Linked DNA regions of Alligator mississippiensis. The protein of the gene in region 3 interacts with the protein of the main gene of each other region in a pairwise test. Links are inferred from orthologs where the notes say so. Each region holds a gene or a part of one and is shown on either strand. Other genes may lie near its edges. The genes, in order: UBE2V1, SS18L1 and FAM168A.

The links.
Region 1: the proteins of FAM168A (region 3) and UBE2V1 interact in binary tests that used the Homo sapiens proteins (3 or more experiments, as listed by UniProt). The two-hybrid records come from large-scale screens. The link is inferred for Alligator mississippiensis from reciprocal best matches to the Homo sapiens genes FAM168A and UBE2V1.
Region 2: the proteins of FAM168A (region 3) and SS18L1 interact in binary tests that used the Homo sapiens proteins (3 or more experiments, as listed by UniProt). The two-hybrid records come from large-scale screens. The link is inferred for Alligator mississippiensis from reciprocal best matches to the Homo sapiens genes FAM168A and SS18L1.

Annotation. Positions count from the first base shown.
Region 1 is NC_081832.1:13,258,178-13,261,925, reverse strand, and holds the start of UBE2V1 (ubiquitin-conjugating enzyme E2 variant 1), read right to left. Parts: upstream 2,660-3,748; 5' UTR 2,578-2,659; coding exon 2,556-2,577; intron 1-2,555. UniProt on the Homo sapiens protein: Has no ubiquitin ligase activity on its own. The UBE2V1-UBE2N heterodimer catalyzes the synthesis of non-canonical poly-ubiquitin chains that are linked through Lys-63.
Region 2 is NC_081832.1:5,945,562-5,949,309, forward strand, and holds the start of SS18L1 (calcium-responsive transactivator), read right to left. Parts: upstream 2,825-3,748; 5' UTR 2,766-2,824; coding exon 2,697-2,765; intron 1-2,696. Other genes in the region: PSMA7 (proteasome subunit alpha type-7), read left to right, coding at 3,543-3,638. UniProt on the Homo sapiens protein: Transcriptional activator which is required for calcium-dependent dendritic growth and branching in cortical neurons. Recruits CREB-binding protein (CREBBP) to nuclear bodies.
Region 3 is NC_081824.1:467,259,771-467,263,518, forward strand, and holds the start of FAM168A (protein FAM168A), read left to right. Parts: upstream 1-1,103; 5' UTR 1,104-1,274; coding exon 1,275-1,277; intron 1,278-3,748.

The DNA.
Region 1 (3,748 bases), on a different chromosome or scaffold from region 3:
TCCAGCCCCTAACAATCTATGAATCTAAGAATCCATCAAACTATAGCTGGGGCAGCCTGGAGCTCTGCACAGGCTAATTTTCTCACTGAGCAACAAAGTACATTAGCTGACATGGCAGCATGAAGCTCTGCCAGGCTACTGTACCTTGCTGTTTAACAGGAATATTAACCCACGCAGAGCTCCCTGTTGCCACAACCATACTACTTCCAATACACTAGCTAGCTCAAGAATCCCTATACCGCGCTGTCTATAGCACAGACATAGCTTTCACCCCTCAAGAAACCCAGTCATGGCCTTTTGAGAGTCTTCAAGTCACCTGGTTCCCCTTTATTTGTATGTTCAATGAATTCTCAGAGTAGTGCGGTTTTCCTTTCCAGAAGTCATGCTGCTAGACTCTCCTATAATTTCTTTCCAGGTGTTTTATTATTCTAATTTTTAAGCATTTCAACCCATTTGTTAGATGGTGTATGGCTTTCTTGTTCATTTCCAAAATCACCCTTGCAGCCTTCTATAGAAATACAGGGCTAACGTATGCTGCCTTTTCATTTGTTCTACAACTAGAAATTTTTAATGAGATTGGACATATACCTTTGGAATTCAGCTACTTCCAAGAGAAGCAAACAGATCCACATGTTTTACAAACAAATAGGCACACATTTAAAGGTTTTTGTAAAACAAGTATTTGTAAAACTTGTTTATAAATAAGAAAGATCATTACACTCCTTGCCCAAAGCCCACCATGAATTGGTGACTATAAATAAATATCAAGGGATTGATCTTTCCCTTGTCCCTGTACCCAATAGACAACACCACATCCAAAACTTTTAGCATCAAAAAAAGTACAATACAAACTGCACTGCAGTGCCACTGTAATATTACTGAAAGGGACGGGACATAACTGTTCCTTTTAGCAGAAAAGGACAGTCTAATAACCTAATCAGTAGTCACAGGGTGGGCTTTATCACCAAGAATAAAGAGCCGCATCAGTTACCAGCTGGACCAGCTCACAGTTGCATTTAAATGGAGTTGCTCACTTGGATTTTTCAAATCCAAATTCAGAGCTGTCTACAAAGGCTCAGCGTTCACGTAACTGTGTTGAAAAGTTATACACTGATTTTCAAAGCTTTTGCCAAAAGGAAAGGTACAAACAAAACCCTACCAGCAGCAGGTTAAATATGTCTGTCACCAGATGCCTGAATAAGTATGTATGTTGCCACACCTATTTGTTCTTCCCTAGCTGTACGTTACCTGAAGTACAAACTTCCCACTTCCAATTCTGCAGAGCCGATAAAGCAGCAGCACTTTTAGAATCACATGAAAAACGACGGGACGTGACACAAAAGGGGCCGCCCGGCCGATTTTCTGCACTTAACTACACACTCACAGCATCTCTCAACGGGGAGTTGAGATAGATCGAGTCAGATCTACCAGGGGTGCGGCTGAAATACCCTATGGAAGCCCTGTATCGAGGCGAGTTTAAAAATGTCTCAATAATCTTACATGACCTCTCCATCCGCACCCAAACAACGAATTCATGGAGCTGCACTGACTTAAAAAGAAAGACACATGCCTTGTTCTTCCAGCCAAATGTAAATGGAAGAAAAGTCAGAAGCTGCAAAAGATTATTGGAGAAATACGGCGGCCTGCTGGAGTGACACAAGAAGCCGATAAGGCCCTGTCTCAATTTCACATCCTGTGCTGGGCGTTTCAACACGGGTCTCCTAGAATACAAACCGCACAAGCGCAGAAAAACCAGCGGTATTGGGATTACGAGGACTTTTAAACACAGATCTGCAAAATACAGGCCTCGTAACAACTGCTACTGCACTGCTCGCACATTTTTAAAATCCTTCTCTTTTGAGTGATCGCTCTTGTTAGAAGACCATCTACGGAAATAGCTACGGCCTCAAGAGAAAAATGAAGATCCTCTTCGTTTCCTCGGTCAAGACGAGGGATTCCCCTTGAAGGACCTGCTTCGTTTTAAAATTTGGTGGGAACCACTTGAAACAAATCCTGGAGGCCAAAACTGCAACCCAGGCACAGCAGAAATTAGTACCCAAAAGTGAAACTCATTTGACTCTGTTTCACTTCTATCCGTTACTCTGCTTAAAAGCGAAGCGGGCGGCGCTGGGCAAGGCGGCGAATCTCTCCTGTGGGCATCGCCGGCCGACGCTGCGCCGGGGTTTCGGCGGCATCAGGACCCGGGCGCCGGCAGGGCCCAGCCAGGCCAGGAGTGGGGTGGGGGGACAAACCCTCAGGCGGCAAACCCCAGCTCGGGGCCCTCGGGTGGGCCGGCTCCAGGCGCAGCGGTGTCGGCCCAGGGCAGCGAGTGGGCCCGGGGCCGGGTCCGGGTCCGGGGGACGCGGCAGCGGGCGGGCCCAGCCGGCGGGTGTTGAGGCCCCGCACCGGCAAGACACGGACGCGGGCCCGGGCTGCGCTGCCCCGCCACAACCCCGCGGGCAGGGGCAGGAGTAGGAGTAGGGAGCGCGGCCTGAACCCCCGCCCCGCGCGGCGCCCCCCGCCCCGGTCCCGGCCGGCTGCCCGGCCCCGCTCACCCGAGCCCGTGGTGGCCGCCATCTTGCGCCGCTGCCGCTCCGAGCCCGCCCCTTCCGCCGCGTCACCGCCACGCGCGAACTGCGGCTTGATGGGACGAGACGGGAGGAGCCGCGGGCGGGCGGGCGCAGAAAGTCGCAGTCCGGAAGCTGGGCGGGGCTGGCCGGCAGGCCTCGGGAAGGGCGTTTTTGCGTTGCACGGAGCGTGGGAGGGGGAATAAGCCGTGCGGGCGGGCCGGAGAGCAGCGTCCTCGGGGTTGTCAGGTGCGCGATTATTGCAACCCTTGTGCGACGTGCGAGCAACAGGGAGCCTGCTTTTCTGATAGAAAGGATCCCCAATTTTCGGATTTAAAAACGAACCCAAAATCCAAATTTTTCCGTGATTAAAATGAAACACTACTTTTTAAAAAAAAAACTTTCCTTTGTATTTTTTTATTTTTTCATTTTCCTTTTTTTGACTTTGTCCTTTACTTTTTTACTCTTTTCCTTTTTTACTCCCTTTTTCATTTTTTACTTTCCTTTTTCTTTTTTACTTTTTCTTTTTAACTTTTTCCTTTTCTACTCTTTTTCCTTTTCCTTTTTTACTCGCTCTTTTTCTTTTTTTTCCTTTATATAAAATGAAACACCTAGATAGATAGATAGGCATTTCATTTTAGTCATGGAAAAATGTGGATTTTGGGTTATGTTTTTTAAATTTGAAAACTGGGTGTTTGTTTTTTAACCAGGATCCCTGATGACCACTAACAGTAGAAGTATTCAAAGTGTGGATAGTTTTTGGGGCTGCCAATCAATGCAGTGTATGCAAAACCTGAGTCACTCTCAGGGAGTCTTATCCAGCTCCTGGGTTTGCTGTCAGTGCTTTCTCATGACCGCTTGCTTCGAAATAAAGAAAGGCTTCAACTTGGGCCCAGTTCTCGCTCGGTGGTGACTTACAGTGAGCAATACAAGGTAAAGAAGACTCGTTTGCATAGTTTTTCAGTGTACAATAGTTTTCTAGCAAACGCTATAATTTTGAGCTTCCAATAGGATAATTTCATATTTAAGGACCTGGCCATGCTGGGCATCCTTCACGTTTGGCCAGTGGCTGTTGGCAGAGGACACCCAAGCAGCAGCAGCGACTCCTGCAGGCAGGGGCTGAACAGAGGCAGTGGCAAAGTGCTCCATGGGGGACGTGCTCCAGCTACAGGGGGGGCAAA
Region 2 (3,748 bases), on a different chromosome or scaffold from region 3:
CCAACAAAGCTCTGATTTCATTTGACTCACTGTTTGTGTCGAACCTACGATGATGTAGATGGAGATATTCTGTGGAAAGTCTAATACAATTCTCTGCAACTGAGTGGAGAGGATCATTTTTCCTGAAAAACTGTAATCATCTTAGGACCCTCAAAATATTTTCCAATATTAATGAACAGCTCAGCTGCTGGCATCCTCATGTCTAGTAAGACGGTTTAAGGATCAAACGTCACCTCTGGATGTGTATTCAGTGCTGACAATCCAAGCAACACAACTGTTTGTTGCAAAAAGACCAGAGAATAACTGTAGTATAACACTGCTAAAAAGAAGTAGGCTCTAATCTGTCAGAGAAGTAAATCGAAGGTTAATATTAATGCCCATTGCTGTTCCATGAGCTACAGTCAATCTGCAATCCTACAGTCTTTCACTTTCCTCACATGAAGTTTTGTATAAGGATTATAGTTAGCTTCGGAAGGATAAAGGCTTGAAAGGAGCTTTTGAAAGCAAGTCAGTAGCATGCATCATAAAAACTAGCTGCTTGTGTATTCAAACATGAGCCGAAAACAAGCATCTTTGTGAAAAATATCTTTTACTATAAAGTCTGACTTCTGATGAACGCACACTGTTGCAATTTCCTGCCCCAAAATTAGATTCCGCCCTGCCCCCCATATATGACGGCAAAGTCAAGTTAATTTTTTTATGCATTTGTTTTCAGATAAAAGCGTCAGTGCTTTTCAAAAAAGACCATCACTGCCAAGAATCAAGAACTCAAGGAGCAAGCCTAATGTAGAAAGCATGGAGTGTACTTGTCAGAGGAAAAGATTTTTATATATTTCCAAGAAACAGACTGCAGCCCCAAACTATTACTAGGTTTATCACGGACAGGAGGGAAAGTGCGTGGACAATTAAGAGATTACGACTGTCCTTTACACTGAAACCTTGAAAATGAACTTAAAAGACTAACCTACACAGGATGTGAAATTCTGCCTTAAACCCACAAAAATCCAGATAAAGGATAAAGCTGCACCTTTTGCCACTGCTGTCTAAATATTTTAGCCTCTGAAATGAAGTGGGTCTGATGACAACGTCTCACATGCTCCAAGAATTAGGCAAAATGGAACGAGTTTCCAAATGCTCTCCTGGCATTTAGAGATGCGAGATTCTAACATCTCTCTCGGGGTACTTTGTTCTGCCTTCATTTTCCTGAATCTTGACCTCGTCCTCCAGCAAAACGCATTGCCCCAGAATTCACAGCCTGGCACTAGATGCTAGCTGGACTGCAGGAAATCCTCCTAAACAGCTGATTGCTGAGAGCTGACACCTTTTTTTGTTCGCCATTATCCTTTACAAATGGACTACATCAGACCTTCATCCCTTCCCGCACAACGCAACCCCCCCCGCACATCGCAATAGGGCAAACACAGAGCACGCAGGCTGGAGCTGGGCATGACAGGCATTGTTCAGCAAAACCAATCGACAGCACAGACACGCTCTTTATTGACACCTCCACACCTCTTCCGTTATCCCCGGGGACGGCAGCAGGGCCTGGGAGGGGCTCCTTCCCCCCTGCCCATCACCCTCGCGCGTCTTCTCCTACAAAAGCATCCCCCGAACTTCCCAAGTGGGTCCCCTCAGCACCCGCTTCTGTAGGGAAGCCCAGCAGGGACCGAGCCCGATGAGAAAGCCCCTCGAAACCTCTGCCCTTTGGCGTTAAGCCACGACGAGTGCAACCGCACATGACAATAATAATAATAATAATGCTGATAATGATACTAATGATAATACAAATAACAATACTAATAATAATGCTGATGATGATACTAATACAAATAACAATACTAATAATAATGCTGATGATGCTGATACTAATACTAATAATGCCAATGCTACTAACAATGCTGATAATGCCAATACTAATAATAATGGCAATACCAATAATGCTGATAATACCAATACTAACAATAACACTGATACTAGCACTAACAACACTGATACTACTACTAATACTAATAATGCACTAATACTAATGCTAATAAAGCCAATACTAATAGTAACGCTGATAATACCAATAGTAATAGTAATGCTGATGATACTAATACTAGTAATAACGCCAATACTATTAATAATGCTAATGATACTAAACCAATACTAATGCTGACAATACTAATACTAGTAGCAGTAATAATAACAATGCATTATTATTACTACTACTAGTAATATAATAACAATGTATTATTATTACTACTAATACTAGTAATATAATAATAATAATAATACTTGTAATATAATAGAAATAATACTAGTAATAATAATGTCAATACCAATAATAATGCTAGTGATACTAATACTAGTAATAACACTAATACTAATGATACTAAGCCAATGCTAACAATGCCAATACTGATACTATTAATACTAATACTACTAATAATGCTAATAACGCTGATAATACTAATAATGCCAACACTAATAGTAACAGTGACGATCATGCCAGCACTACTGCTAATAACGCGAATACCCCCGGTAATAACGCTATGCTCACACGGATGGTGACCGTACCGCAGGACCGTGGTGGTGACGGCGGCGGCGCTCACCCCCCCGCCGTGCCCGGGTGAATAATGGATGAAGCCCCCATCCCCCACCCCCGGCTGTGACCCCCTCCCCCCCGGGCCGTGAGGCGATGCCCCCCCCCTCACCTTCTGGATGGTTTGCTGCGTGACCTCGCCCTTGGCCCTGGGCCGGGCGGAGGCGAAGGCGACCGACATGCCGGCGGGGGCGGGGGCGGGGGGGGGCGGGTCCCTGGCACGGCCCCGGCCCCGCGCTCACGGTTGCGATCGGCGCCGCCGCCGCGCCGGGCTGTCCGCAGTGCGCGGGGGTGGCCGGCGCACATGGTACATCCCACGCCCCGCCCCGCGGCCCCCCGCGCCGGCCCCGCCCCCCGCGCCCCTCTGCCACAGCCCCGCGCGCCGGGGGGGCCCAGCGGCTCGGGTCCGGGGGGGGGGCGGGGGCGGTGCCCACCGCAGAGCCCCTCCCCCGCTCCCCCCCACGCCGCTGCACATGGTGCGTCCCGCGCCCCGGCTTCCTGGCGCAGGCGAGCAGCGGCAGCCAGGTGCGCCAAGTGCGTAGGGAAGGCGGCATGTACGCCAAGTGCGTGGAGTGCAGCGTGAAGCCGGAGGGGGGAGGGAAATCATGCCCGCTCCTACGCAAAGTGCGTGGGATAACTTCACCTTGATAACTACGTCAATGGCGTAGGCAAAGAACGCGTGTACGCCAAGAGCGGAGAGGAAATCCTCCACCTTGATAAACCCGGCGGCTACGTTAAACGGGGGGGTGGGAGACACGCAGGTATGTACGCCAAGTGCGTAAGGTAGAACATGAAGGGGGGTGGGGAAACGCAGCGCCTACGCAGTTGGCGCACAGGAAGCAGAAGGCGTAGGCCAGGCGCGTGACAGCGGAAGGGCCGCCGGAAGGGGCGGGGCGGTCCGCCGGAAGGGGCGGGGCGGGCGGTGAGTGTGCGGATTTGAGGCAGCGCCGGGGCCGCCATGAGCTACGACCGCGCCATCACCGTCTTCTCTCCCGACGGCCACCTCTTCCAGGTCGAGTACGCGCAGGAGGCCGTCAAGAAGGGCTCCACCGCGGTGAGTGTGCCGCCGGGCCTGTCCTGACCTGGCCTCACGGGACCCGCCGGGGGGAGGGCCCGAGCAGCGCGGGGGGCGCCGCCTGCACTTGCGCGACACGCGTGCAAAAA
Region 3 (3,748 bases):
CTCTTTGGGTAAACTGTTCTAGTGTTTTACTACCCTCCTAGTGAGAGTTTTTCCTAATAGCCAACTTCCTAGTGAGAGTTTTTCCTAATAGCCAACTTCAATATCCTCAGCTTTCCTTGCTGCAGCTTGAGCCCATTGCTCCTTGTCCTGTCACCTGGCCCACTGAGACCAGCCCAGCTCCATCTTCTTTGCAACCCCGCTGCAGGGAGCTGAAGGCTGCTATTCAATCCCCTCAGTCTTCTCTTCTGCAGACTAAATTAGCCCAGTTCCCTCAGCCTGTCCTCATCAGTCATGGGCTCCAGCCTCCAAACCATTTTCATTGCCGTCTGCTGGACTGTCTCTAACTTGTCCGCATCCTTGCCCCGCTCTCATCCGACTGGCCACGTGTCCTATATCTACTCAAACTCCTGGGCTTTTCAGCACCCAGGTGTGTTCACTGTTCAAAATAAAGTGTGGTCACGTGGCCGACTGCAACGGGAAGGCCTGTACTTAGCAGCAGTCCTGTCACAGGGGTGGTTGGTTTTCATATGATCTGAACGGTCAGGCTTATTGCATGCTTTCTCTTTTTTCTCCGGTGGATGTCAGGTATATGTCTGTAAGCGATACCATGTTCAGGCTTGCAACAAGTTAATTCCTTTTGCAAAAAGCACTGAAGTTACACTGCTCTTTTGCCAGTTTGGCACAGGAAATCTGCTGGGATCTCAAGTGTAATGCTCTGTCAGTGAAGTCTCCTGTCCTTTTTTTAGATTCAGCATGCCATTCTGATGGGTAAAACAGCTTTTTTTTTAATTATTTAAATGAGCTACTTGGTTGCATGGAGTTACTAATTTGATATGGGTTTGGTACGTTTCTGTACACGTGGGAGTAAAAGGACTCTTTTGCCAATTCGAAGCTGGTGGCTTCTCTCTTTCCTCACGTGATTTATGGATTGGAGTGACCTGGAGGATCTCCAGCACTTTGCTCCTGTCCAGCTGGTGCATCTGCCTTCCTCCTAGCTCTTCATTTCTTATTTTTAAGTCCCTTTTTGCTCTCCACAGCAGCTGTTACAATCAGCTTATGCACTGGGCACCTCTCCTCTTGTCCGCCAGGTTTGGAGCCAGGCTACAGAAAGAAGATTGATACACATGTTCTGGATTCTCCCCATTATTTTTTTTCCTGCCTCCTTTCAAAAGGCAGCAAGAGCTCTGGATCTGGAAACGGATAACACTCAAGAGGATCAGCCCCCCAAAGGATAAGGCTTCAGAGAGTTCCCTGGGCTCTAGAAACTGTATGAAATGGTGAGTAAAATCCTTTGCATCATAAGCAGGCACGGTTCTTTGGGTAGATGTGATATCAAAGATCCTGGCCTGCCTGTGTCCTTAGAGCGACACGGCAACAACCAAAACCCAGTTTGCATCATAAGAGTGCTCGCTACATGCCTAGACCAGGAGCTGTCACATAAAGGAAGCAAGGTAGCAGCGCAGAAAGAAATCACGATCCTTTTTGCTATATTTCAGCACTGGTGAGGTCACATCTGGAGTCCCGTGTCCAGGTTTGAGCCACCCACTGCAGAAAGCATGTGGGCACATTGGAGAGAGTTCAGTGGAGGGCAATAAAAATGGTTTGAGAACATGATTTGTGAGGAGAGGCTGGGGGAACTGGGTTTATCAAGTCCGGAGAAGAGCAGATTGAGTGGGGATTTGATAGCAGCCTTCAACTCCCTGCAGTGGGGTTGCAAAGAGGATGGAGCTGGACTGTTCTCAGTGGGGGCAGATGTCAGGACGAGGAGCAATGGGCTCAAGTTGCGGCAGGGGAAGCTGAGGTTAGATATTCGGAAAAACTTTCTCACTAGGAGGGTAGTAAAACACTGGAACAGGTTACCCAAAGAGGTTGCAGACTCTCCATCCTTGGAGGTTTTGAAGACTTGGCTAGACAAAGCCTTGGCTGGGATGATGTAGTTGGGGCCGGTCCTGCTTTGAGCAGGGGTTGGACTACGTGTGACCTCTAGGTGTCCCTTCCACCCCTCATTTTCTATGATTCTGTGCTTTTCTAGGTGAAACACATTTTTCCCCTTCATGTGAGACACTGCGTCATGTTATTGAGTCCTTGGGCTCTGCCTACAAGGCCAGCTTTTCTTGTCCATGTACCTAGATCTTCTCACAGGCACCATTATACTCTCCTCCTGTTAAAATAAAGCTTTGACATTATCCTCCTTCAGGTCCCTCTTTAAAACTCATCTTTCCTGTAATGGTCTGTATCCACTTGTTTCTCAGAGACGAGGAAGAGCATTTTGTGCCTGAAACCTGGTCTAACATCTCACCCAACTATCTAGTTAGTCCAGTAAAAATATTACCAAACAACTCTTGCTTCTGTAAAACACATGGTGAGGCGGCTGTTCATTTTGTGAATTGTTACTATTGTATTGTTTCTTTGCTCTCCTTTTCTCTCTCTAAATGAGTTCATTTTGTGGGTGTTTTGTGTCTTGGCGTATGCTAAGTCTGGGAAATCTTTGGAGCCATAATGTGCAATGGGGCCCTGATCCAGTATAAATAATAGATGGCTGCATTCTGGGAGCACTAATCCCCACTAAGAATGTCACTGTCCAGCAGCTCGTGTGCTGTAAGAATTGTTAGACAGGAACCACTCACCAGAATGAGCTCCCACGTTCAAAGTATAAAGGACAGAGCCACTTGAACATCAGTAGAGCCCACTTCACAGAGTAACCTCTCCCTTTCTGTCCTCACAATCCTTCCTTGTGCTCAAAGGGAATTCAGAAAACACTCCTAGGTGAGGGGTCTGAGAATAGAAATGTATAAGCCCATTGGACAGTAAAAAATCTGGACTCAATACAGACAGCCACTTTATGGCTCATTACAACCTAACAAATGCTGTTGTTAATCTCCCTTCACATCACAGGTAATAACTTCCCTTTGTCTTCTCAAATGGTCTCACTCTTCCACTAACTAGATTGCCTGTGCTTATGCACCTTTTTGTCCTAGAACAGCTCCTGATAACACCTCTTCACGTCTAGTTCACAGCCTCCTCCATCCCTCCAAGTAGACTTTGCAATTAAATGGAGTCTTTTCTCTGCTGTTGAGTTCAGTCTGTCTGCCTCTTTTTTTTTTTACACCTGAGGAAGGGCACTTGATGCCTAAAAGCTTGTCCAACAGCTCTCCCAACTATACAGTTGGTCCAATAGATGTTATTACAAAACATCCTTGCCTCTGGACTTTTGGCAGTGATGATGCTAACTGAATATCCTGGTCTGAAAGTGTATTTAAAGTAAGTGTTAACGAAGGAGAAATTCAGAGTTTCAGTTGCTCCGGCCTATTGATCTTGAGAGTCACCAACCAGGTGTGGCTGAAGACCAAGAAGTCTGCTTTGATGCATCTGTCCTGTAGGGTTATTGCAATTTAAGGCCACTGTATAGTCTTTAGAATTGAGTTTCTTCCTTTCTTTAGTGTTTTTAATGATGGGTAGAGCTGGATGTGATTCAAGACTTGATGTTTTGTATGAACCAGCTCATTTTCATCTTGAGTTAAAACTGAACTAAACAGAAGCTTTGTAAAATTCCACCCGTGCTTCTCCAACAAACATAGTGGGTTCCTTTCCCAACCACATCCATTGCATTTGCTTATGATTGTGTTTACAGGGCTCACTTTTCACTCTGCTTATGAAAGAATTGCTGTTCCTGTGCTTCAGTAGTTTACTGGCTGAGAGTGTAATTAAAATGTTTGTTTGAAAAGCATTTAATTAGAATTCTTTCTGT